Diceros bicornis minor: one gene and its partners. The protein of the gene in region 3 purifies or fractionates together with the protein of the main gene of each other region. This does not show direct contact. Links are inferred from orthologs where the notes say so. Each region holds a gene or a part of one and is shown on either strand. Other genes may lie near its edges. The genes, in order: BAG6, UBL4A and GET3.

Region 1 (7,484 bases), on a different chromosome or scaffold from region 3:
GGCTTGCACACTTGCCTCCATCCGGGAGAGTAAGGACTGTATATCCCTGATCATGTGCTGAGCCATCAGCAGCCGTACTCGGGGCTCACTCTACAACAAGAGAGGGAAGATTAGGGCAGGTTTGAGATGAAGCCATGAGCTCCACCATCTACCAAACCAGGTCCCAGCTATCTGCTCAGCCAGGTCCACCCCCACCTCACAGCCTCCTTCTCCCAGATCCCCTTCCCTGGCCCTCCCAGGCCCCGTGATACCTGAATCGGGGCCTGTTCCATGTTGATGTGAACATCCACAGCAGAGCCGTCACTCTGGGGAAAGGGTAAGGGAAGTTGCTCTGGGAGAAGCCAAATACTAAGGCCCCCACACTTCCAACTCGTTCTCTGGAGCCCCAACCCTCTTCTCCTCAGAGACTGAGGCCGTTATCAGACCACAGGGGCCTACAAACCCAATCTAAAGACTGGGACACCTGTCTTATGAGCTCTTTGCTACCACAACCAAAACTACCCTTCCCCACAAAAACTCTTCCACATGGAACACAAGCTTACAGGAAGATTGAAGGTTCCAACCATGACATAGCTGTTGGCATTCCGGTCATGAACAGAGGCCCCAGGCCCCCGAGTACCAGGGGAAGGTCCCCCACCATGGGTGGCTGAGGCAGACCCTGTCCCAGAAGATGCCCCAGAAGGGAGCTGAGTCTGAGGAGGAGCCCGTTCCACAAGGTGGATAACCTTTCCCCCAACATCTGCAGAAAAAAAAGATACACACCAAAACATTATGTGAGCAGGTAAACCCACAGCCTCAGCTCATCCCTCTGGACAGCTGCCTCAACCTCTGAACTGCCTTCCCCACCCGCTTACTGTATTCTTGGAGCTTCTTATCATCCTGCAGAACTCGGCCCTGGTAGATGAGCCGTTGTTTCTCAGAAGGGATGCTGACAGAGGCGGCAATGTGTTCCTTAAACTCCTTTACATTCATCTGTAACAAAGAAAAGACACGAATAGGTATCAAGGGATGGAAGAAAGAAGAAGGACAGAAGGACAATTGACTTGTGGGGATAAGGGGTAAAAACCATCCCATCATAAAATCACTACCCATTTGACTTGTGAAGTAATTATTGGGCAAAGCCCCAAACTAAGACAACAGCGGTCAAAATACAGACAATAAACTTAGCAAAGTTCAAGTTATACACCTAGCAGAAAATTACATAGCTAAGAAACAGAAAAGCCAAGAGACATTCTCTTTTCTCTTTCTCTACCTGGCTCCCAGGGGAATGTGTGTCTAAAGACACCGGTGACCCCTCCCCAAACACAAAACGATACAATTCTGTAATCTCAAAGATAAAAGCAATGACAAGGAAAATGGGGTGGAGAATCAGGGCAAGGAAGGAAGACTCAACCAAGAAGAGAGAGAGAAGGGAGCAAAAAACAAAAAAAGTTTTACTAACTAGACAACTGATTCTTGGGAAGTATCAGGCTATTTACATACATCTACTTGAAAAAGTTTATACGGTTTTCTTAAATACATGTAATACCATGCTCTAAAAATCATGGACCAACTCCTCACAATTTTGTCTCCAAGTATTACAGGAGTAATGGCATGTCCCCATGGTGTTAAACTCAAAAGATAGGAATTATGCCAGAAATCTTAGTAATTCCACTCAACAGTCTATTAGGGCTCTACCTGCATTAGGGGCTCCGATTTCTAGCCTTTAAAAACACAGGATAGACCCGACCAATTTTTGTTTTTAAGACACACTTGCGTTTGGGTCTGTGTGTCCTGTTTCCCTTCCCAAAGGCAGAAGCCATGTCTGGCCCCTTGGTCTGGGGTTCACTTATGGTGATAGCATACAGATTCCTTCTTCCTCCATATTTCCCTCTGCATTGAGTTCTATCGAGGTGGAGGAAGACAGAACAAAATCTGCCTCATTCAACAGAAACCATACCTTCTCACTCAACAAGAAACATCAGTAAATGTTCTGCCTAGAATATGAACAAAGAAATTAATGCAAGAAATTTTGAGGACCAGAAAATCAGGCTCTTCTCTTAGGCTAAGGGGCCTACAAGAGAAAGAGTTAATAGGTGTCTTAACAGAAGTACTGGGGTCTCACCTGGGCCCCCACAATAAACGTCCGAGTCTGAGAGTCCAGGGTCTTCACCAGCACCTCCAGGGTGTCAGGCTCTTCCATAGTGAGACTGGTACTATCACTGGGCTCCATGGCCGACAGCTCTCTAAGGAAGAATGGAAGGAGGGAGGCCCGCTGTCGCCCAGAACAGATTTTATATATCCGGAAGCCTCCCGGCCTGAGTCTCCGCCCCAATACCTAAAGGGTTTCTCTCACACAAGCACACACACTCACACCCGCCCCCATCCCCCTTCTGATTCCGGGGCACAGGGAGAGAAACACAAAGGGCAGGAGATCGACGGCACAAGGAGCTGGAGGAACGGGACGTGGGAGGGGCTCCACGATGCCAATCACAATAAGGGAGGGCCAATCGGGATAGGAAGCAGGGAAGAAAGCAAGAGACCAGTGTCATCACCGGTCGCGATAAGACAAGGGCCCCAAAGGTCGGCAAATCCTGTAACAACGCGAGTGAGAGGGTCGCGCCAGACTGCGGAGAAAGTGGTTTCGCGCAGGCGCGCTACGCCACGACCATCGAACGCGCCTAAGTCACCACAGACCGGAGATGACCGACACTCACGGGGGGCCAGACCGGCTAGCTGACTGCCCCCCTCTTCCGCTTTCCCTCGGTGCTCCAGCAGAGCGGCGCAACCAACACACACACACACCCACCCACCCACCCACCACTCCGCGGCTCCGCCCCCGACTTCCCCACGGTACCGTCACTTCCGGTCTCCCCTAACCTGCCACCGACGGCCACTTCCGTTTCCCCGATAGTATTTGGGGATCGCGAGGCGGTACTTCCGGCTCCTCCTAGGTCCCCAAGCTTTACTTTTGTGGGGCACGACCAGGAAGTCCGCGGCCCCAAACAGTGAGTTCCTGGGGGCAAGACGGACCGGGCCCGGCCTAGATGGGAAGGAGCCGAGCCCTCGAGGAGCCGCCGCCGCCGTCGCCTGGGGGACCGTACTGCGCCTGCGTGCGTGGCACTGCGCCTGCGTACACACTTAGGCACCGCCCCACCCCCGCTGGAGCTGTGCATTTCTCCTGCGCGCGCGCTCGAGCAATAGGACGTTAAGGTGGGCACTGTAAATGCCTGAAAAAAAAAATTACCAGATGGGACTGTACGACTGCCTCGCGAGGCTTCCGACGGTTCTGTGGATGTTGGAGTTTGGATACTGGGGATTGTGCCTCGTTAATCTATATTAAAGTCTTGGCCGGCAGAGAATTTGATACGGCACTGTCCTGGCCACCTAAGAGTCTGTCTTCCTGTCACTGTCGCCCTCGCTGCGCCAATCTTCGGCGCCTGCGGAAGTCACCCTTTCCGTAGGCGGTTGGAGGTGGTTCGCGAGCTGTCCTGCGTGCGATCAAGTCGTTGGGCCTGACTTCGGTCCTGCCGGTGGGCGTTTTGCGGAGTGTGGGCGCCATGTTCCTCGCCGGCGGTGCACGGCTGAGGCGACACGCCATGTTTTGGAGAAGCTAAGGATTTGCCACCTTTCAGGACTTTTGTCAAAAAAAAGGGCGCTTCTGAGTTTGGAAATCGGGAGCAAATGAGTCAGACTGGACTGAAACACAAGACTGACTCCGGGGAATTGAAGGGGCTGCTAAGGGGCTTCCGCAGGCGGGGGTTGCGGGGGCGAGGTAGTTACCGCCTCTCTCCCCTCTTCTCCTCCCACCCCCGCTCTCGGGCAAGGGCATCGACCCCGAGGCGCTGCGACTCTTCCAGTCAGACTCGTCGCTGCCGGGGTGCCTGACTCCCTTGCCCTGCCTTTTTATAGTTTATACCCAGGTCCCAGTACTGCTTCAGTTAAGAGTTCTGATAAGCACCTGTTTAGTGAGCACTTAGTTTGCGCCCGCCGATTTGCTAAGAGATTTACGTAGTCATATTTAAAAGCCTTTCAACATCTGAGATAGTTACTACATCCGTTGTATAGGTGAGTGCACCTAGGCGAACGTAAGTGGCAGAACCGACAGATCCAGGCCCAGCACGCTCTGGGTCAAGCACTTCTACTTTACTGTCCCAATAAATCGTTGTATTTTAGTTTTTAATTATCAAAAAATGTCAAACATTACCCCAAAATAGAATAGTATAATGAATCCTGATATACCCATCTCCCAAATTTTGTTCAATCACAAGCCCATAGCAAGCCTCACCTCTCAGGACAAATCTCTTTTTGGCAGTCTGTGGGTTATAAACAATCTATTAAGGAAGCCCCACCTTTTATTGCATTAACTGCTCCACCCACTTGGCACTATCCAATGACTGCCTCTTGACAATTCTTTCCTTATCTCCTATTTGAAAACTTATTAGCCACCAGAAACTGTAATAAGTGCTTTACAAACGTTACTATTAATTATAGAGAGTATTTACTTTGGACTTACCGTGTGCAGGCCTTTGCTAAGGGCTTTATGTGCATTATCTTTTTTAATCCCATGAGACTGATGAGTTGCTCATTTCACAGATGAAAAAACAGGCATAAGGATTAATAAAATTGTCCAAAATCTAATGAATAGTAGAGTTAGGGTTTGGACCCACTATGCCTGACACCAATGTCTGTCCTCTTCAACCACTAGATTATATAGCCTCTTGTAGTAATAAACGTTGAGTGAATGAATTCACTTATGTGTCAGGAAACTTTTCTGGAGAGCGTACATATTGTTTCCTCAATTATAAACTTCAGAGAGGAAGCCTCCTATCCACCATGCCCCAGCACGTGGTTTGTACCTGTTCTAAAGCACTTCCCAGGTTGTACAGCAGTGATTTGTTTACACAGCTAGTTTTCCTTAGACTGACTGCTTCAAGGCCAGGGACTGTGTCTTATTCATTTTTATGTCCCCAGGGCTTAGCCAGTTCCTGGCAAACAGCTGGGACTCAACACAGTTTGCTAAGTGAATGAATGAATCAATCCACCACTCTTGGATGCTGCACAACACAGCAGATACCCAGCTCAGATATGGGTTGAAAGACCACAGGCTTCTGCCTGGAGGGCTCAGCTCTCCTTATAATTCCTGAGAGACCCTGGACATGCCAGGGTGTATTGTGGAGTGGTTGCATCTAGAGGAGGGGGAGGAAGGCCCAAACACTAATCCAGGCTTGGGTTGGAAAACAAGGTTGAAGTTACTCATTAGCAGGTGAAAGGGTCAAGGGTCGAGGCAAGGGGGCTGGAAGCAGAGTGGACTGAGCAGCCAGCGGGGGAAGAGAGCAGTTAAGGCACCACTCTATGCAGAGCACCAGCTGCCTCCTGCCTGAAGATGTTCCACCAAATTTGGGCAGCTCTCCTCTACCTCTATGGCATTCTCCTTAACTCCATCTACCAGTGTCCTGAGTACAGTCAACTGACAACTCAGGGAGTGGATGGGAAAGAGGTATGGACTGAGAATGGGAGAAACTTATGGTAGGGGCTCTGAGGGACTTGAGTGGTGGCCTAGGATGACCAGAAGCCACGTTGGGAAAAGGAGGGAGGAAGAGGGTGTGAGTGTTGTGATGATGAAAGCAAGAACAAGTAAAAAAAATATTAACACTGTGGCCATCAATGTGGAGACATGGTAGAACTGGGGGGTGGGGTGGTTACTCAGGTTGATTGAGGAGGGGCAAAGAGGAAAAGTCATTTAGTGACTCCCTGTCATGGATCCAACCCCCAACTGGAAAAAGGCAGCCAACATCTCCACCTCTACGTCTTGCCATCCTGACTGATGAAGACATGGGATGGATCCTGTAGTGGGACCCACCCTCTTCTGTTCCCCTTATTGTCTCTCCAGTTCCCAGAGCCCCACCTGGGCCGGTGGTACTTTATCGCAGGAGCAGCTCCCACCAAGGAGGAGTTGGTGACTTTTGACCCTGTGGACAACATTGTCTTCAACATGGCTGCAGACTCTGCCCCCAAGCAGCTCCAGCTTCGTGCTACCATCCGCACGTGAGTGGTGAGGAGGCAGAGGCACCAGTAGGTGCGGTCTCTGCCTGAAGTGTGAGCACCTACCCACAAAGAGCTGAGTGCTTTGGCATATCCACAATTCTTGGCCCTCTGAGTTTAACAGCTCTATTAGTTTCAGTCTGGAGAGAAATGGGCCTAACCATCCCTTGGTAGCTTGAAACCCAAGGGGACCCGGGCTTCAAGAAGGAATAAGATGGAATAAATAGAGGCTGGTACTGTGTGGTTGGGGTGTCACTCAGTCTTGCCTCCTTGCCACCACCACCTCTGCAGGAAAAATGGGCTCTGTGTGCCCCGGAGATGGATTTACCACCTGACTGAGGGGAGCACAGATCTCAGAACCGAAGGTTGGTTCTCTCCAGTCCTCACTCTCCCCAAGTCCTCTGGGCTTGCTTGGTTTTGCATCTCGGTCCTCACACTTCTCCTCACCCACCCTGACAGGCCGCCCCGACATGAAGACCAAGCTCTTCTCTAGCTCATGCCCAGGTGGAATCATGCTGAAAGAGACGGGCCAGGGTTACCAGCGCTTCCTCCTCTACAGTGAGTGGGGATGCCAGGCAGGAAGGATTGGAGGGAAACACGGGAGGACAGGAGAGCTCCTCACTCTGGGCCCTGTCGCATCATCCCAGGAAGGGCTGGGTGCTTCCATGAGGTCCTCACCAGGGGCAGTGCTAAGAAGCAGGGGCTTTGATGGGCCTGGCCCTGCCTTGCCCTTCCAGATCGCTTGCCACACCCTCCTGAGAACTGTGTGGAGGAATTCCGGTCCCTGACCTCCTGCCTGGACTCCAAGGCCTTCTTACTGACTCCCAGGAATCAAGGTGAGGGGTAAAGTCGCACAGTAGAGGACTAGGACTCACCAAGTCTTCTGCAGGTGCTGGATGAAAGGGACTCAAGTGATGTCACCAGAGGGCATGGCCAAAGGCTGATATCATCAGAGTGGCTGTGTTGACCCTCCATTTGTGTCACAGGCTGTGATGGCACCAGAGGGATGTGGCCAAGAGCTGTGATGTCACCTGAGGGAGCCAGGATGGGCTCTGGGCTACTCAAAAGAGAGGTTTCTGAGTTTGCGTGGATAAAGGGGGCAGAGGGTCAGACATGGAGGGAAAAAGTCCTCAGAGATCCCTTCTCAACACAGGGGAATGAGGGAATGAGGGAATCTCCCTGGATTTCCTTCCTTTCCATCCTCTTTTTCTCTCCCTCCTCCCACCAGAGGCCTGCGAGCTCTCCAGTAACTGACCTGTGGCTTCATCTGATGGATATGATGGGAGTTGAGATTGTGGTGAGAAGGAGAAGCTGGAGACTCCCAGCTCCCTTTGAAGAATAATAAAAATGATTTTTCAATAAGGATTTCAATAAAGATTTTCAATCAGGGTCTCATTGGGATTTGTCTCCAGACATCAATCCCACTACTCCCATTTCAATAGTCCCCCTGGACCTTCTGC
Region 2 (7,657 bases), on a different chromosome or scaffold from region 3:
CGCCGCCGCGAGAACGTGAGGCCTGGCGCGGCCGCGGAGCCTGGGAGTGGCTTGAGGGCGCCTTCCGCGACCCAAGACCGCCAGGGCGGGCCGCTGGCCTGGCCGCCTTCCGGGTCGCGGTTGGCGACTACGGGGCAGCAGCCTGAGTCCGGCGGCGGCGCCCTCCTCCTTCCCTCCGTCCCGGGTTCGCGCCCGAGCTCTGCTCGTGCCCAGTCCGACAACTTCCGGACTCCCAGGTAGGGAGGAGCCCCGAGTCAGCACTGCCAACTGCCCTAACACCGAACACTCAGCCAGTGTGGAAAAAGCAGCCAGCCTGGGGTTCCTTCCCCTGCCTTGGGGTGCATCTGCTCAAACTCTTCTGGCCCCTCAAGCAGAAATGGTGTGGGATCTGGGCCAGACCCCTCTTGCAGTGACTCAAAGCCGCCAGCTGAACTGGAAGGACAGGGTGGATGACCCTTAGCCTCCTCTCCCTTCTGAACTGGTTCACACCACCGCGGTGGCTTCAGTCCCAGGTGCCTTCATCTTTTCCCTGTGACTCCCCTTCACTTTGCTTCTCATACTCCCTCTGGTTTGCCTGCCTTCCTCTTCAGCGGTGGGACACAAGGCTGGACCAAGGCCTCCAGGGTAAGTGACCCAAACTCCAAACCAGCCAAGACCATGGCATCCCAGGAGGCTGGGGGGAGACATTCCCAAGGATGAGCCTTTTGCTTAACCTGCCCTCCACCTCCTGCCTCCCGCGCTCCCCAGTCTCAGATGGCTGAGTGGGGGCAGGGACAAAGACTGTCAGGATCTACAGAGGCAGGGGCCTCTTCCAGGACTGGGACACTGCAGGGCGTGAGGCAACCAACAGTAGTGATGAAAAACCAGTGTCCCCATCCTGGTTGCCCCAGTCCCAGCAGGTGATGTGGCAATTGGATGGTGGCTGCCCAAACCTCCTCCTTTCACCCTGAGGCACCCCGCCCATGAGAAACACTCATAGTCCCCCTGGGCATTCCAGGCTCTGGTAGGGTGCGTGTGGGCATGGGGAGGAGCCCCTGGACTCCGAGCAGAGCCTCTCAGGTGTGACACAGTGGCTCTAGGAGCTCAAATTCTGGGACTGCCAGAGGAGTGGAAGTTCTGACAGAAGGAGAAGAAGCCCCCCAGCAGACATGTGGTCCTATCAGGCCCCCTCCTGCTGCCCCTTCTGGTGACTTCTCTGGGGAGAGGGGACCTGCTCCCCAGAGAAGAACCCCCATCTCCCCACTGTCAGCAGGTAGGGGAGGCCAGGGAACCATGGTGGCACCATTCACAACTGCACGTTGGTGGTGGACATCAGCCCCTGGGGCCTTCGGCCGGATGGTCACCCACTGCCCACGCCACTTTGCCAGCTGCTTTCTTCCTGGCAGATGATACTCAAATGCCCTAACCTGCACTCTGATGGTCTCTCAGATCTGGCCCAAGCCAGTGTTTCTTTTTTTTTTTTTTTTTTTTGTGAGGAAGATCAGCCCTGTGCTAACATCTGCCAATCCTCCTCTTTTTTTGCTGAGGAAGACTGGCCCTGGGCTGACATCTGTGCCCATTGTCCTCCACTTTATATGGGACGCTGCCACAGCATGGCTAGCCAAGCAGTGCGTCTGTGCGCGCCTGGGATCCGAACCGGCGAACCCCAGGCTGCCGCAGCGGAGCGCACGTACTTAACAGCTTGCGCCACCGGGTCAGCCCCAGCAAGCCAGTGTTTGTATCAGCACCCTTTGCTCTCATCAAGCTTGTCTCCTTGTCATCCCTGGGCAGCCTTTCAGAGATTTCATCGTGGTTGTGGGATTGCTGCGGCCCTGCTGTAGCTGCGTCTCGAAGCTGGTGGGGAACAGGCTAGTGGTGACAGGATTGGGGGTGGCTCTCCCGAATCCCTTGGTATCAGGATGTCTCTGCATGGTCACCATGCTGGGCAAGTCCAGGGAAATGAGCGGGTAGCAGCAGCCTGAACGGGAACTGCTATCTGTGAGTGTGTCCTCTGGGTGAGGGATAGGAAGCTTGAGGCAGTTGTGCTGGGTGAGAGGACAGCCGAATGGCACTCAAGGGCCAGCACTAGGCATTGCCTTTCTGTTCCCGGGCTTGGGGCAAGGGGCCCCACTGAGTCTCCCAGCAGTGGGCTTCCAGATCCCCAGGCTCCTGGGCTCACAGCTGCTCGCCCTCACCAGCCCCCTCTCTGTGTCCCTTTCCTCCTCAGGAAGAGCTCTGCCATCAAGGAAGGCAGCACAGGGCCAGGGCCCGCCTATGGACCCTTCTCAGGACAACCCAACGGTACCAGCAGGACTGCTCTCCTAAGCCACAGAGGGTCTGGGCTCGCCAGCCTTCAGGAAGAGCCATGGTGTTTAGGAGGGGCAGGGGCAGCTCCCAGCAGTGGCCTGGCCTGGGAGGGGGCAGTGGTTGCACAGGCCACCTAATCATGCTCAGGACTGCACTGCTGCTTTTCAGCCTGCCATGGGGGGCCTGGGGAACAGCCAGTGCCAACCTCAGCACGGCTCTGGGCCATACTGTGCCACTGACAGAGGGCCGCTACTTGAGCATTGGGGATGGCTCTGTGATGGAGTTTGAGTTCCCAGAAGAGAGCGAGGGCATCATTGTGATCTCGAGCCAGTACCCAGGCCAGGGCAACAGGACGGTGCCAGGCCCCACGCTAAGAGTCACCTCCCTGGACACAGAGGTGCTGACCATCAAGAATGTGAGTGCCATAACCTGGGGTCGGGGGGGCGGCTTTGTGGTGAGCATCCACTCAGGCCTGCCTGGGCTAGCCCCACTCCACATCCAGCTCGTGGATCCCCACAAGGCCCCACCTATGCTGATTGAGGATCGGAGAGATTTCTGCATCAAGGTCTCGCCTGCTGCCGAAGACGCCCCTGCCACCCTTGGCGCCGACCTGGTCCACTTCTCAGAGAACCCAATACTCTACTTGCTCCTGCCTCTTATCTTTGTCAACAAGTGTTCGTTCGGGTGCAAAGTGGAGCTCAAGGTTCTGAAGGGGCTCCTGCAGAGCCCCCAGCCCATGCTGTTGGGCCTCCTGGGTCAGTTTCTGGTCATGCCCTTCTATGCTTTCCTGATGGCCAAGGTCTTCATGCTGCCCAAGGCCCTGGCTTTGGGCCTCATCATCACCTGCTCGTCGCCTGGCGGCGGGGGGAGCTACCTCTTCAGCCTCCTCCTTGGAGGGGATGTCACTCTGGCCATCTCCATGACTTTCATCTCAACTGTGGCTGCCACTGGTTTCCTGCCACTGTCCTCAGCCATCTACAGCCACCTGCTCAGCATCCATGAAACACTCCACGTGCCCATCTCCAAGATCCTGGGGACCCTGCTGTTCATCGCCATCCCCATAGCAGCAGGCGTAGTGATCAAGTCCAAGCTCCCCAAGTTCTCCCAGCTGCTGCTGCAGGTTATCAAGCCCTTCAGCTTTGTGCTGCTCCTGGGTGGCCTCTTCCTGGCCTACCGCATGGGAGTCTTCATCCTGGCGGGCGTCAGGCTGCCCATCGTGCTGGTGGGCCTCACAGTGCCCCTGGTTGGCCTCCTGGTGGGCTACGGCCTGGCCACATGCCTGAAGCTGCCAGTGGCCCAGCGGCGGACAGTCAGCATTGAGGTAGGGGTGCAGAACAGCCTGCTGGCCTTGGCCATGCTGCAGCTGTCCCTCCGCCGCCTTCAAGCCAACTATGCCTCCCAGGCCCCCTTCATCGTGGCACTGAGTGGCACCTCAGAGATGCTGGCCTTGGTCATTGGCCACTTCATCTATAGCAGCCTGTGCCCAGTTCCCTGAGGCCCCTGGGTCAAGCTTTTGCCACCCCTAGCCCCCACCCTCCACCCACTGTCCCCACAGTTCTTGTGTACCAAAGGCCTTTAGTTCTCATGCACTATGCACTCAGAAAAGTCCAGGCTGATTTTTTTTTTACTGGTTTTTTATTCTCCAGCTTTCAGTGCCAAAGAGGCTATGCTGACTTAGGTAGGTAGGCACTGCCCAGAAAATATATTTCAATAAAAGAGAGAAGCAAGCTTGGGTCCCTTCCCGTCTTTGCCCTTTAAGGCCTGGGGGTGGGGGTAGGAAGGGTGTGGCTGGGTAGGTGTGGGTCGGCGTGGAGGACTGGCTTGGGTGACACGGTGATCTCTGTGCAGACTTTCTTTCTCAGCCCTCCTTCTCCACGCACCCCCTCTGTGAGAGGTGGGCCTCTCTGTTCTAGAATGAGCCACGGGAGCATGCGGGCAGAGGCCTGGCTCCTGCCTGCTCCCAAGCTCAGCTGGTTTTCTTCAGCCAGACTAGAAAGGAGACAGCAGGCCCGCCGCGGGCACTGGGGTAAGCTTGGCAGGGCTGGGCCGTCTGTGGATTCCTGAGAGACACAGACCGGGCGATGGCGCTGCCCTGCTCCGCCGGTGGCCCTCCCTCCTCCCCAGACGAGGCCGGCCCCACCCATTCCTCCTCTCTGTCCCGGCGGGCTTCCCGCGCCATCGCCGTGGGGGACCTGTCGCCGGGGCGGGTCCCTGCGCGCCGGCGAGGCGGGACATCAAGGGGACTCCTCCTCCGGGGGTGGAGGGGGCGGGGCCGGGGCGCCGGGCGCGCCCCTCTCGCTGCTTCCGGCGGCGGCGGGTGGTTCCGGCGCGCGCCCGGGGCGGCGGCGCGCGGCGGGGGGGCGGTTGGGGTGCGCGCCGGCCGGAGTGGACGCCGCCGCGGCCGCCATGCAGGTGACGGTGAAGGCGCTCCAGGGCCGCGAGTGCAGCTTGCAGGTAGCGTCGCCGGGCCCCGTCGCCGGGCCGGCTCGCGCCCTCAACCCCAGCCCCGGGCGTAGGGCCGGGCAAGCCGAGGGCGGGAACGGGGACGGGGCGGGCGGGCCAGCCGCGCCGGGGAGGCCGGGAGAGCGCCCTCGGCGGGAACTCGGGCTCAGCCCCTGCCTCCCACCCTCGGCCCGGCCAGGTGTCGGAGGATGAGCTGGTGTCCACGCTGAAACATCTGGTCTCCGAGAAGCTGAACGTCCCCGTGCGCCAGCAGCGGTTGCTGTTCAAGGGCAAGGCCCTGGCAGGTAACCGGAGAGAGGAGACGCCCCAGGGGCCCCGCAGGAAGTCGGGGGACAGGATATCCAGGCCGAGCCCGGGCAGCGGTGAGGGTCTGGGCGCTGGCCACTTGAGGGGAGGTTGCTGAACCTTCCTCAGCCAGATGCGGCAGCACTCCGGCTGCTGGGGCTCCTTGAGGCCACCCTTGCCGCTGTGGGTAACAACTTAATCTCTCTTTGGCAGATGGGAAAAGACTCTCCGATTACAGCATTGGGCCCAATTCCAAGCTCAACCTAGTGGTCAAACCTCTGGAGAAGGTGTTACTGGAAGAAAGCGCTGCCCGGAGACTGGCCGAGACCCCACCCCCACCCCCACCCGCCTGGCAACTGATCTCCAAAGTCTTGGCCCGCCACTTCAGTGCTGCTGATGCCAGCAGAGTCCTGGATCAACTACAGAGGGTGAGAAGGGTAGCCTGGCCCATCCCCTTCTGCCCCTGCTGCTCCCACCCCTGGCCTCTGTCACAGTGTACTGCCCGCTGGCACCCCCTGAATCCTCCTGACTTTCTCCCCTCAGGATTATGAGAGGTCCTTGAGTCGCCTGACCCTGGATGACATCGAACGCTTGGCTAGCCGCTTCCTGAACCCCGAAGTGACTGAAGCTATGGAGAAAGGGTTCTCCAAATAGGATTCTCTGAGTGTGGGGAGGAGCCCGCCAGGCTGCAAGCTGCATGTAGCATTAAATGTGTTCTCATGTTGCAATTTGGCTCATAATAGTAATAGCTGGCAAGTATCCCTCCCTGGCTCTTGCTAGGTGCCAGGCACCTCGCACAAAAGGTGAGACAGCTGAGGCTCCTGGCAATGAAGTGATGGAGCCAGAACCTGAGTCCAGCCAGCTTCTAGAAGTGCCTCAGGGTGAGAAGGAGAAACGGGCTGTTGGAAGGGTTCCAAGGGATGGGCTTTGGCATTTTGTGTTTAGCCCACTGAGAATAAACCCTCGAGCGACTCCTTTCCAGGTCTGAAAGGGGAAGCAGCTGGCCCCTGCTGCCCAGTCCTGTCACCTGACCTCTGGCAGGTCTAGCATTGGTGGGAGGCCAAGTGGCAGCCAGCCCGGAGCCCCCTCAGCTGCTGCAGCAAGTGCACTCGACGCAAGATATGCAGGTTGGGGAATCAGGGATGAACGTCGCCCAGCTCTGCAGTATGACTTCAAGCAAGTCCCTGTGCCACGTTGGTCCCCAGCTGTTGACTCTGCACAATGAGGGCCAGTCCTTAAACCTCAGTCAATTTCCTTCATCCTTACCCCAGCCCTGGGGTGAGGAGTTGGCGGTGATCCTCCCTCTTGTTTTCCATAAACAAACTGAGGCCAAAAGCCAAGCGATGGCCAAATGTGGCCCAGAGATGGGGTGTCCGAGCCTTTTGTGTCACAGCTCTTATGTGGGCACCCCCCCCCCCGCTTGTACCCTCCTGGACACGGGCAGTTCTCACCCCTTCGGAATTACAGGTCACTGGCTTGAGGTCACTCAACGAGGCAGTGCGAGAGCTAGGCCTCAGCCAGGCCCCTGTACCCTGCGCTCACCCATAGCGTGGAAGGGATCCTTCCCCTGCCACGTGTGTACAAGGGCTTTCACTTTGCACACCCCTCACTGCCTGAGACGAAACCTCGGGTGCCAGGGACGGGGAAGAAGCATGGGCTAGTGGCACTGGTCCTCCCACCCTCCCTGGTGTGTGGGCACTAGAGGTCATCTACGAGCCTCCTTCTTAAAGGAGGGCATCCGGGGTGGTTAAGGCTGGAAGGAAGCTGCCCTCCAGCCTGGGCCTCTTGGGGCAAACGCTGGGTCCCCAGGCTGGGAAGATGAACAGAGGTCTGATGGGCAAAGGCTTTGAGGAGCAGACAGAAGCCCCTGACCCCAGTTGAGAGCTGGGAATAGCAAACAGGGCCCACTTAGGAGCCCGTGTGGTCTGGCAGCTCATGTGACAGACTTAGCAATGCTCTCATTTCTTTTGAGTCAGGAACTTGATGTTGAAATTTTAAATAGCACTCAAGGTGAATGTGAGACTTGGACTTTTATCCAAAAGGAACTATATTAGCTAGGCTGCTTTTGGTTTCCAATAATTGATTTAACCGTAAAGGAAATTGATTTAAACAATAAAGGAAACTTACTGGTTTACGAAACTGAGAAGTCCAGGCCTATTGGCAGCAGATGAACAATTTCAGCAAATACCCAGTTTCTTCCTACCTCCCCTCTGCATTCTGCAGTGTCTGCTTCATCCCAGGCCGCTGCCTCAAGATCCAAATATGGCTGCCCTGAAGCTTCCACTGAATCCCTCATTCACAGCCAGCAAGGAGCACCTTCTCGCCCTATAGTGTAGCTTATTTCTCAGATGCCCCTGACAAATAAACGCTGTCCTTTCATTGGTCAGAACTGGGTTGTGCCACCAATCATTTTGGCTGGGCGTGAGGTGGACAGTGGGAGGCCAGCCCCCTGGACACCCATGGGCTGTGGGAGGGAGAGGGGATTCAACAAAAGCCAGGTCCGCAGGAATGGCTGACTGGTCCACTGCAGGGGAGTGACACACGCAGATGCAAGTTTCAGACAGACCCTAGAGATGGTCATTGAGTCCCTTGTGCCAGCACCTCTCGGCTCGGAAGTGACAGA
Region 3 (7,325 bases):
TGAGGTGAATGTCGGGGGAACACACCTGACCAATAACTCCCACCTTGCCCCCCATTCCCCATCACAAATCTCCAGCAGGCACTCAACCATCCATCCAGTCTGCCCCTGGGGCTGTTTATGTCACATCTTCTCCCTCCCCAACTCCTTCTGTCCCATTCGCCCCTTGCTCTCTGATGAGACTTGTGCCCTGCCTGGGGTCTCGGCGAGAAAGAGAAGCCACCGCTGCCAACACCCTCATCTCCCCCCAGGACGTGCCCCAGGCCCCCGCCTTGCCTCGGCATTTCTGGCCCTGGCGGAGCCCAAGTCCTGAGCCTGTGTGCTGGACGGAGCTCCCGCCCGCCTGAGGCCGGTCCTCTGCCAGCGTCCTTGCTCCCTCCCGCAACATCACTGTCCTTCCCTGATGGAGCATTTGCGTCAGCATAAAAAAGCCCTCCCTACCCCTGACTCCCATCTCCCTCCAGCGATGGCCCATTCACTTCTCAGCTCCCATTCACTTCTCAGCTCCCATGAGGGCAGACTCCGTCTCCACCTCCTCAGCTCATCCCCTCCAGGCAGGCTTTTGCCCCCGCTCCCAGGGTGAGCTCTTTAAATCTGATGTGCCTGCCACAGCCTCTTCTGCGTGAGTCCCTCTGCCTCGCTGGAGCTCAGGAGCTCACCCTCTGGCTCTGCTCCCACCTCACCGCTGGCTCTTTCTTGGTCTCCTTCCCCAGCTCCTCCTCCTCCTCTGCTGGACCTTAATGCTGATGTGCCCCTGCGTTGTTTCCAGGCCTCTCTGTTCTGTCACGCTCTTCTCCACTCACACAGCTTTAAATACCACCCTTGGGACAATGACCCCCAAATCAACGCCAACCTCCTCCAAGCTCCAGGCTCATCTAACTAAGACGCCGTCCTAACATCTCCACTTGAATGTCCAGTGGGCACCTCGGATTCACTGTGGCAAAAGCGGAATTCCTGACCTCTCCCTTCTAAACCTGCCCCTCTCCTAGTCTTCCCCATCCCAGCTGCTCTGGGAGCCAACTAGGAGACGTTCTTAACTCATTTCTTTTCCTGACCCATTACAACTAAGCAGCCACACTGCTTTACTTCCAGAACACATCTCAAATTTGACCACATCTCCCCCACTTGAGTTCAGGCTGCCATCGTCTCTTGCCTGGTCACTGCCCCAGTCTCCTTGCTTCCATCCTTGAGTTACAATCCAATCTCTGCATGGCAGCCACAGGGAACTTTTTGAAAAATGAATTTGGCCATGACATTGCCCTGCCTAAAATGAACAGCTTCAGGGGCCGGCCCCTTGGCCTAGCGGTTAAGTGCACTCCGCTGCTGGCGGCCTGGGGTTCGAATCCCGGGCACGCACTGACGCACCGCTTGTCAGGCCATGCTGTGGCGGCGTCCCATATAAAGTGGAGAAAGATGGGCACGGATGTTAGCCCAGGGCCAGTCTTCCTCAGCAAAAAAAGAGGACTGGCAGATGTTAGCTCAGGGCTGGTCCTCCTCACAAAAAAAAAAGAACAGCTTCCCATTAAACTTGGACTCAAAGCCAAACTGCTCCCAGTGGTCTGCGAGGTTCCACACTACGCGGCTCTGAGTGACCTCTCCGATGTCTCCCTCCCCTCTCCTTGCTCACTAAGCTCAGGTCACTCTGGCCTCCTTTCTGCTCCGCAAACCCTCCTCACTGCTTCCGCTGTGGGTATGTCTAGGAAGCGGTGAAACTGGAGAGACAGTGGATGTGGCATGGGCGAGACAAGGTGGCTGAGGGCGGGCGTCCACGGGAAGGGCCTGAAGGGGCCTTTGCCAGAGTGGGGAGCTGAGTCTGCTCCACTCACCATGGCGAAGAGGTTGTCATAGCCTTTGACCTTGGTCGGCACCTTGGAGAACTTCTGGTCAAATGCGTCGGAGATGTTGTGGGCTGGGTCAGTGGAGATGATCAGAACGCTCTCCCGCCCTTTGGACAGCTGGACTGCTAGGCTGCAGCTGGGCAAGGGAAAGGTCAAAAGCCGGGGACGGAGGGATCAGGCTCTGCTCCCTAGGTTTGCACGGGGAGATGGAGGGTCCCAGGAACACGGGACCCGGAACAACAGGGGCCTTGAGAGGAGAGTAGGGGTAACTGTGGGATCAAGCCTCAGTGCCTGCAGAGGGACCCTCTCAGACCTCACCTACTGTCCCTTCCAACTGGCTAGAGTTGTAAGGTTCAGCTGAGTCGCTCTGGCCTGATGCCTGCTGCTGCTTTGCTGGCACAGAGTGGTATGGTCCAGCTGCTCAGCCAGCATAGTTTGATCCTGTGCCCCCTCCCTCAACGCTAAGGGATCCCTTGCACCCCCTGCTAAACTCAGGATGGTTCAATCCACTTATCCACGATAATTTGCGCCAGGGAGCCCTCCACTTCCTCCCAGCTGAAGAGGCTGGAATGGGAGTCTTATCACGTGCCCTCTTCCCCGCCTTCCAGCACCACCCCCACGTGGGCAGAGAATGGCAAGGTTCACTAGACTAGGATAGTGCGCCCCGGTGCCCTTCCCCCTACTCTGAGCTCACTCTGGTACGGTCCAGCTGATTGCTCTGCCGCCCACGAGTGTTGGGTACACTGTGGTTCGGCCCTTGAGCCGCAAAGGGGATGGTCCAACTCAGAGGGTGCCAGGCCTGCATTCAGGAGGTATCTTCCATTTGCTCCAGGGAACTTCCAGGGAGCAGAACTCGGAAGACCCCGGCCCAGCCCCCTTGCCCGGCTCGGGGTGGAAGAGCCGGTCTTCGGCCTCCCCTTCGCCCCGTGGTACATCCCACCCGTCTTCCCGGCCCCCGTCGCAGCCTTCTTACCTGCAGGTGGTCTTGCCAACGCCACCTTTGCCCCCGACGAAGATCCACTTAAGGCTGCGCTGCTCGATGATGTTGCTAAGCGTGGGCTCCAGCGGCTCCACATCAGGCGCATCCTCGAACTCCTCTGCCTCAACCCCCCACCCGGCCACCCCTGCCGCCATCTTGGAACCGGTTCACGTGATCAAGCGGAGCACACCACGCAGAGCACCTACAGGGGAAATTGCCCAGCACATCCCCATCAAGGCTAGGAACATGAATTAATTTCCTCTTGGCTTGACTTTTAGGAGCTAATAGAAGCTATAGTTCCTATGTCCTCCGCTTCCGGGGTTCACTTTATCGACTTCTTGTCTACATTTTTTCAAAGACTCCCCCTGCCTAATTAACATATTGGTACGTTCCTGGCTACTCCCCTCCACTGATTGGTCCCTAAGTCTTGCAGCGCTCCTTTCATTGGCTACATCTTTTCTTACTTTCACCAATCACTCTCAAGTCTCGGTAGCCGCCAACCTCGCCTTAGCAACCAGCCAAACACCCGGTTCATGCCCTTTCCGTGAAGTTACATTCGAGGTCCGCCATGGCCTGACTCCATAGGCTTAACTTCCTGTCCATCATTTCCTCCCTATTCTCCAAATTAGGTCCCGACATCGCCTCAGGTTCGTCTCCTCTGTTATCCGATTGGCTGTGAGCCACCTGGTTCCTGACGCAAACCAATCATAGATGAACCGATTAGTTGGCTGGAGACAAGTCCTGGGGCTGCGAGTGAGTTAGAGGGAGAATGACTCCAGTGGTAGGCAAGGTCCGCAGAGCCGGTCCAGTGCTCCCTGAACCCCCATGCTGGGCAGGCCAGGGCAGGGACCACACCTGCAACTGCGCTCCTTGTCGTAGTAGGAACACTATTCCCGAAAACTTCCTTGCACTTGGCTCCCTATTCGAGGGGGAGGCTCCAGTTCAGCGAATTCCCTGTTTGAACCTCTGCCCTGGGCAGGAATACAAGCTGGGTCCCAGGCCCTTGGGGGACACTCAACCTTAGATGGGGACTCCAGCCTAGAAATTTCCGTGGCTTTATTTGAGTACTCTAGGCCATAAAATAATACCTTGATTCTCAGATGAGGACCCCAGCTTCACAGAGCCAGCGTATCCCTATTCCCAAATGGGACAGGTACCTAATCCAGAGATACCCTCATTTCTATTTGAGGGGCCCAGGCTAGATACGCCCTCTAGACCTAGTTAGGGACCTAGGTTCCGAGATGGCAGCTGAACACACAGCCTCAGACGGGGTCCCTCCCCTCACTGAGATGATCCCTGGTGCCAGAAGGGGATTCTAGCCCCGGAAAGCTAACGCGCCCCCGGTCCCAAGCGGGAATCTCACTCCGGAGAGCCGGCTATAGCCCCAGTCCCTCTCGATGGTCCCATTCCCGGGGAGACCATGTCTTGCGTAGCGCCTTCCCAAATCTAGCTGAATTATAAAAATCCGCAGGGCTGGGCATCCCCCAGCCGGCCAGCCGCGTCGGGTCTTACCCCCCACTCGTCCCGCCCCTCATGCCCCGCCCCCACTGCGGACGCCTTGGGTTGGGGGGCCCGGACCGCTTTTCCCGGCATGCATTGCCCGGGACGAGGCAAGTCGGGCGCCAAGCGCGGGGCCCGAGCGGCCTTCCCGGAGTCCTTTGCGCGGCACCTGGCGACAAAATGGCTGCCCGAGGGAGACGGGCGGAGCCTCCGGGCCGGGAGGCGCCGGGCCCTGCGAGCGGCGGCGGCGGCGGGAGTCGATGGGCTGAGTCTGGGCCCGGGACGTCGCCCGAGAGCGGGGACGAGGACGTGTCGGGCGCGGGTTCGAGCCCAGTGTCGGGCGGCGTGAACTTGTTCGCCAACGACGGCAGCTTCCTGGAGCTGTTCAAGCGGAAGATGGAGGAGGAGCAGCGGCAGCGGCAGGAGGAGCCGCCCCCGGGCCCGCCGCGACCCGATCAGCCGGCCGCCGCCGCGGGCCCCGGGGATCCGAAGAGGAAGGGCGGCCCGGGCCCCACGCTCAGCTTCGTAAGGAGCCGCGGGGGTGGGGGCGGGCGCCGGGGCCTGCCTTGGCAGGGGGAATCGGGGCCCGAGAGAGGGGGTCAGGATGCGTCCACCCTCCGGCCCCGATGAGGGGCCGTCCGGGTCACCCGCTGAGCATGCAGAACCTGGATTCCCGACGAGAGAGGTCGGGGGGCGGAGGTGGGGACCCCTGGAGCCTGCCCGCAAGAACCAGGAGCGGGAGGGAGTTGCATTGGAAACAGAGCTCCGGGGATGGGGAAACCAGGATACCAGGATTGCTGTTTGAGTGGCACCCAACTTTGCATGCTGGGACCATCTCCCACTCTGGGGAAGGGGGCAAATTCAAATCTGAAGTCCGAGCTGTGTAATTAGAGACTCAGACTACTTACTGTGTGACCTTAGGAAATTTGCATGACCTCCCTGAATCTCATTCGTTCAGTGTCCATTTATTGAGCCTTACCTTGTGCTGGGCATCCTGCTAGGTGCTGGGTATACCGTGGTGAACGTGATAGACAAGATCGCTGCTTTCGTGGAGCTGGGCTGGCCCACCCTCATTTTCCCTACTTACAAAACTAGATCTCATCTCATCTTCGTCTGTGATGAGGGTTCAGTGAGGCCATCCTGGAAAAGCGGTTAGCACAGGGGCGTATAGGAAGGGCTAAACCAGTGGTTCTCAGTTGGGGATGATTCCCCCATCCCCATCCTCACACTTGGCAAAGTCTGCAGACGTTTTTGGTTGTCAGAACTGGGAGGGGGGGTGCTACTGACATCTGTGAGTAGAGGCCATGGACGCTGCTCAGCATCCTACAATGCACAGAACCACCCTCCCCCTCGAACAAAAATGATGCTGCTCAAAACGTCATTAGTGCCAGGTTGAGAAACTCTAGGCTAAATAAGTGGCATCTATATTGATTGTCAGCTCTGAACTTGTTTTGTCTCTAGTGTTCAGATCAAGTCCCTGTGGTGTGGAGAAAAAAGTGTTGACTTGAGAATAACGGACGGGGGGGTCATGTGTCTTCATCTGCCAATAATGAAGCAGTGCAGGCCCCTTGATGCCTGGTTGAGGGGCAGAGATGGGATGATGCCTGGAAAGCCTGTTGCAGCCCCAGGGGCTCAGGAAGCCCCCAGTGGGTGGGAGAAGATGAGGACCAGGATGAGAGTCCAGAGTTGAGACTTGTGTTGGAGGAAGGGAAAGTGTTAGGACCTGGGCTGGTGTGAGAACTAGGTGGAGGCCGAGTGCCCCTCCATGAGCAAGAGTAGCAGCCATTGTCACTGCTCTTTTCATTTGTTCATGGAGGGGCCACTGCGGGAGGCCCCTTAAAGAAGCCAGGCCAGGTTAGGTGCAGGGGAGAGACAACGTCTCTTGATGGTTACGGATGCTGCTCTGTGGCTGAGACCCACCTGACCTGAATCCAGCTCCATTGTTTGCTGCCAGCATGACTAAAGTACAGGTCTCTCCTTCTCAAAGATGTTTCCTCACCTGTAAAACGGGGATGGTTGTAATCTTCATCTTAGGGTAACTGTAAAAGTGGAAGGCGATAATCCAGCCAAAGCACTTGGCACAGGGCTTGGCATCCAGTAAGTGCTCAATAAAGGGAGCTGTTGCTGCCTGTGTGATTCCTGCTAGGGTTGGGGGAGGCTTCAGCCTGGAGAGTGAGGACAGAGCCTGTCCCTGCCAATGTGGGGGTTCATCTCGCTCCCTGGGAGGGCAGCCCGGGTGCCCAGGACTGCCTGGGCATCATGGGCCTGGGGCAGGCGCTAAGAGTCGCGTGTGCTCCTCTCTGATTGCTGCGCAGGTCGGCCGGCTGGCGGAGCTGGGCGCGGCGTCGGGACGGGCCACCGGGCCGGGCTAGGAAGGTGTGGTGGGCCTCAGCGCCGCCAAGGGCGGGCCCGGCTCCTGTAACCGTAGCAGTCTTCTGTCCCTTCACCCAGGTGGGCAAGCGCAGAGGCGGGAACAAACTAGCCCTCAAGACGGGAATAGTAGCCAAGAAGCAGAAGACGGAGGATGAGGTGAGCAGGCTGGGGTGGGGGGCTGCCCAGGTTGCCTTGCTTTTCCGGCCTCAGTGCTTGGCCAACAAGCCCTGACCCTCCATCTCCAGCGTCTGGGCCTGGATGGGTGAGCTGGGTGGGGGAGGAGGGCTTTCAACACGGTCCCAGCTACCTTGACTCTGCATATCTTGACTTCCAACCCAGGACCTCCGGGGTCACGCTGGGGGTGGGTCCGCTGTCTCAGGACAGTCCTGACCGTGGGTCCTGGCCTCCCTGGCATCCCCTTCCCGCCCCCTGTGTGTCCCCACCAACAGGTATTAACAAGTAAAGGTGACGCATGGGCCAAGTACATGGCAGAGGTGAAAAAGTACAAAGCCCACCAGTGCGGCGACGATGATAAAACTCGGCCCCTGGTGAAATGACCCCCTTCCCCGCCTGCCCACGGCCTGGGACTCTCTGCGATGTACATAACTATTTAATGCAGCGGCAGCGGCGGCAGCCTC

The links.
Region 1: the proteins of GET3 (region 3) and BAG6 purify together in Homo sapiens (co-immunoprecipitation; 5 studies listed by BioGRID and IntAct, with this or other methods). This does not show direct contact. The link is inferred for Diceros bicornis minor from reciprocal best matches to the Homo sapiens genes GET3 and BAG6.
Region 2: the proteins of GET3 (region 3) and UBL4A purify together in Homo sapiens (affinity purification with mass spectrometry; 4 studies listed by BioGRID and IntAct, with this or other methods). This does not show direct contact. The link is inferred for Diceros bicornis minor from reciprocal best matches to the Homo sapiens genes GET3 and UBL4A.

Annotation. Positions count from the first base shown.
Region 1 is NC_080753.1:33,107,568-33,115,051, reverse strand, and holds the start of BAG6 (large proline-rich protein BAG6), read right to left. Parts: upstream 3,072-7,484; 5' UTR 2,860-3,071; exon of another isoform or gene 2,837-2,859; intron 2,811-2,836; exon of another isoform or gene 2,797-2,810; intron 2,764-2,796; exon of another isoform or gene 2,697-2,763; intron 2,226-2,696; 5' UTR 2,213-2,225; coding exon 2,105-2,212; intron 973-2,104; coding exon 855-972; intron 740-854; coding exon 543-739; intron 306-542; coding exon 252-305; intron 91-251; coding exon 16-90; intron 1-15. Other genes in the region: APOM (apolipoprotein M), read left to right, coding at 5,366-5,479, 5,873-6,027, 6,316-6,389, 6,484-6,582, 6,762-6,860, 7,253-7,278. UniProt on the Homo sapiens protein: ATP-independent molecular chaperone preventing the aggregation of misfolded and hydrophobic patches-containing proteins.
Region 2 is NC_080781.1:138,425,833-138,433,489, reverse strand, and holds UBL4A (ubiquitin-like protein 4A), read left to right. Parts: upstream 1-4,636; 5' UTR 4,637-4,692; coding exon 4,693-4,740; intron 4,741-4,927; coding exon 4,928-5,033; intron 5,034-5,247; coding exon 5,248-5,462; intron 5,463-5,577; coding exon 5,578-5,688; 3' UTR 5,689-7,173; downstream 7,174-7,657. Other genes in the region: SLC10A3 (P3 protein), read left to right, coding at 2,345-3,781. UniProt on the Homo sapiens protein: As part of a cytosolic protein quality control complex, the BAG6/BAT3 complex, maintains misfolded and hydrophobic patches-containing proteins in a soluble state and participates in their proper delivery to the endoplasmic reticulum or alternatively can promote their sorting to the proteasome where they undergo degradation.
Region 3 is NC_080769.1:4,600,342-4,607,666, forward strand, and holds the start of GET3 (ATPase GET3), read right to left. Parts: upstream 3,057-7,325; 5' UTR 2,970-3,056; coding exon 2,809-2,969; intron 1,972-2,808; coding exon 1,824-1,971; intron 1-1,823. Other genes in the region: TRIR (telomerase RNA component interacting RNase), read left to right, coding at 4,495-4,839, 6,766-6,843, 7,137-7,244.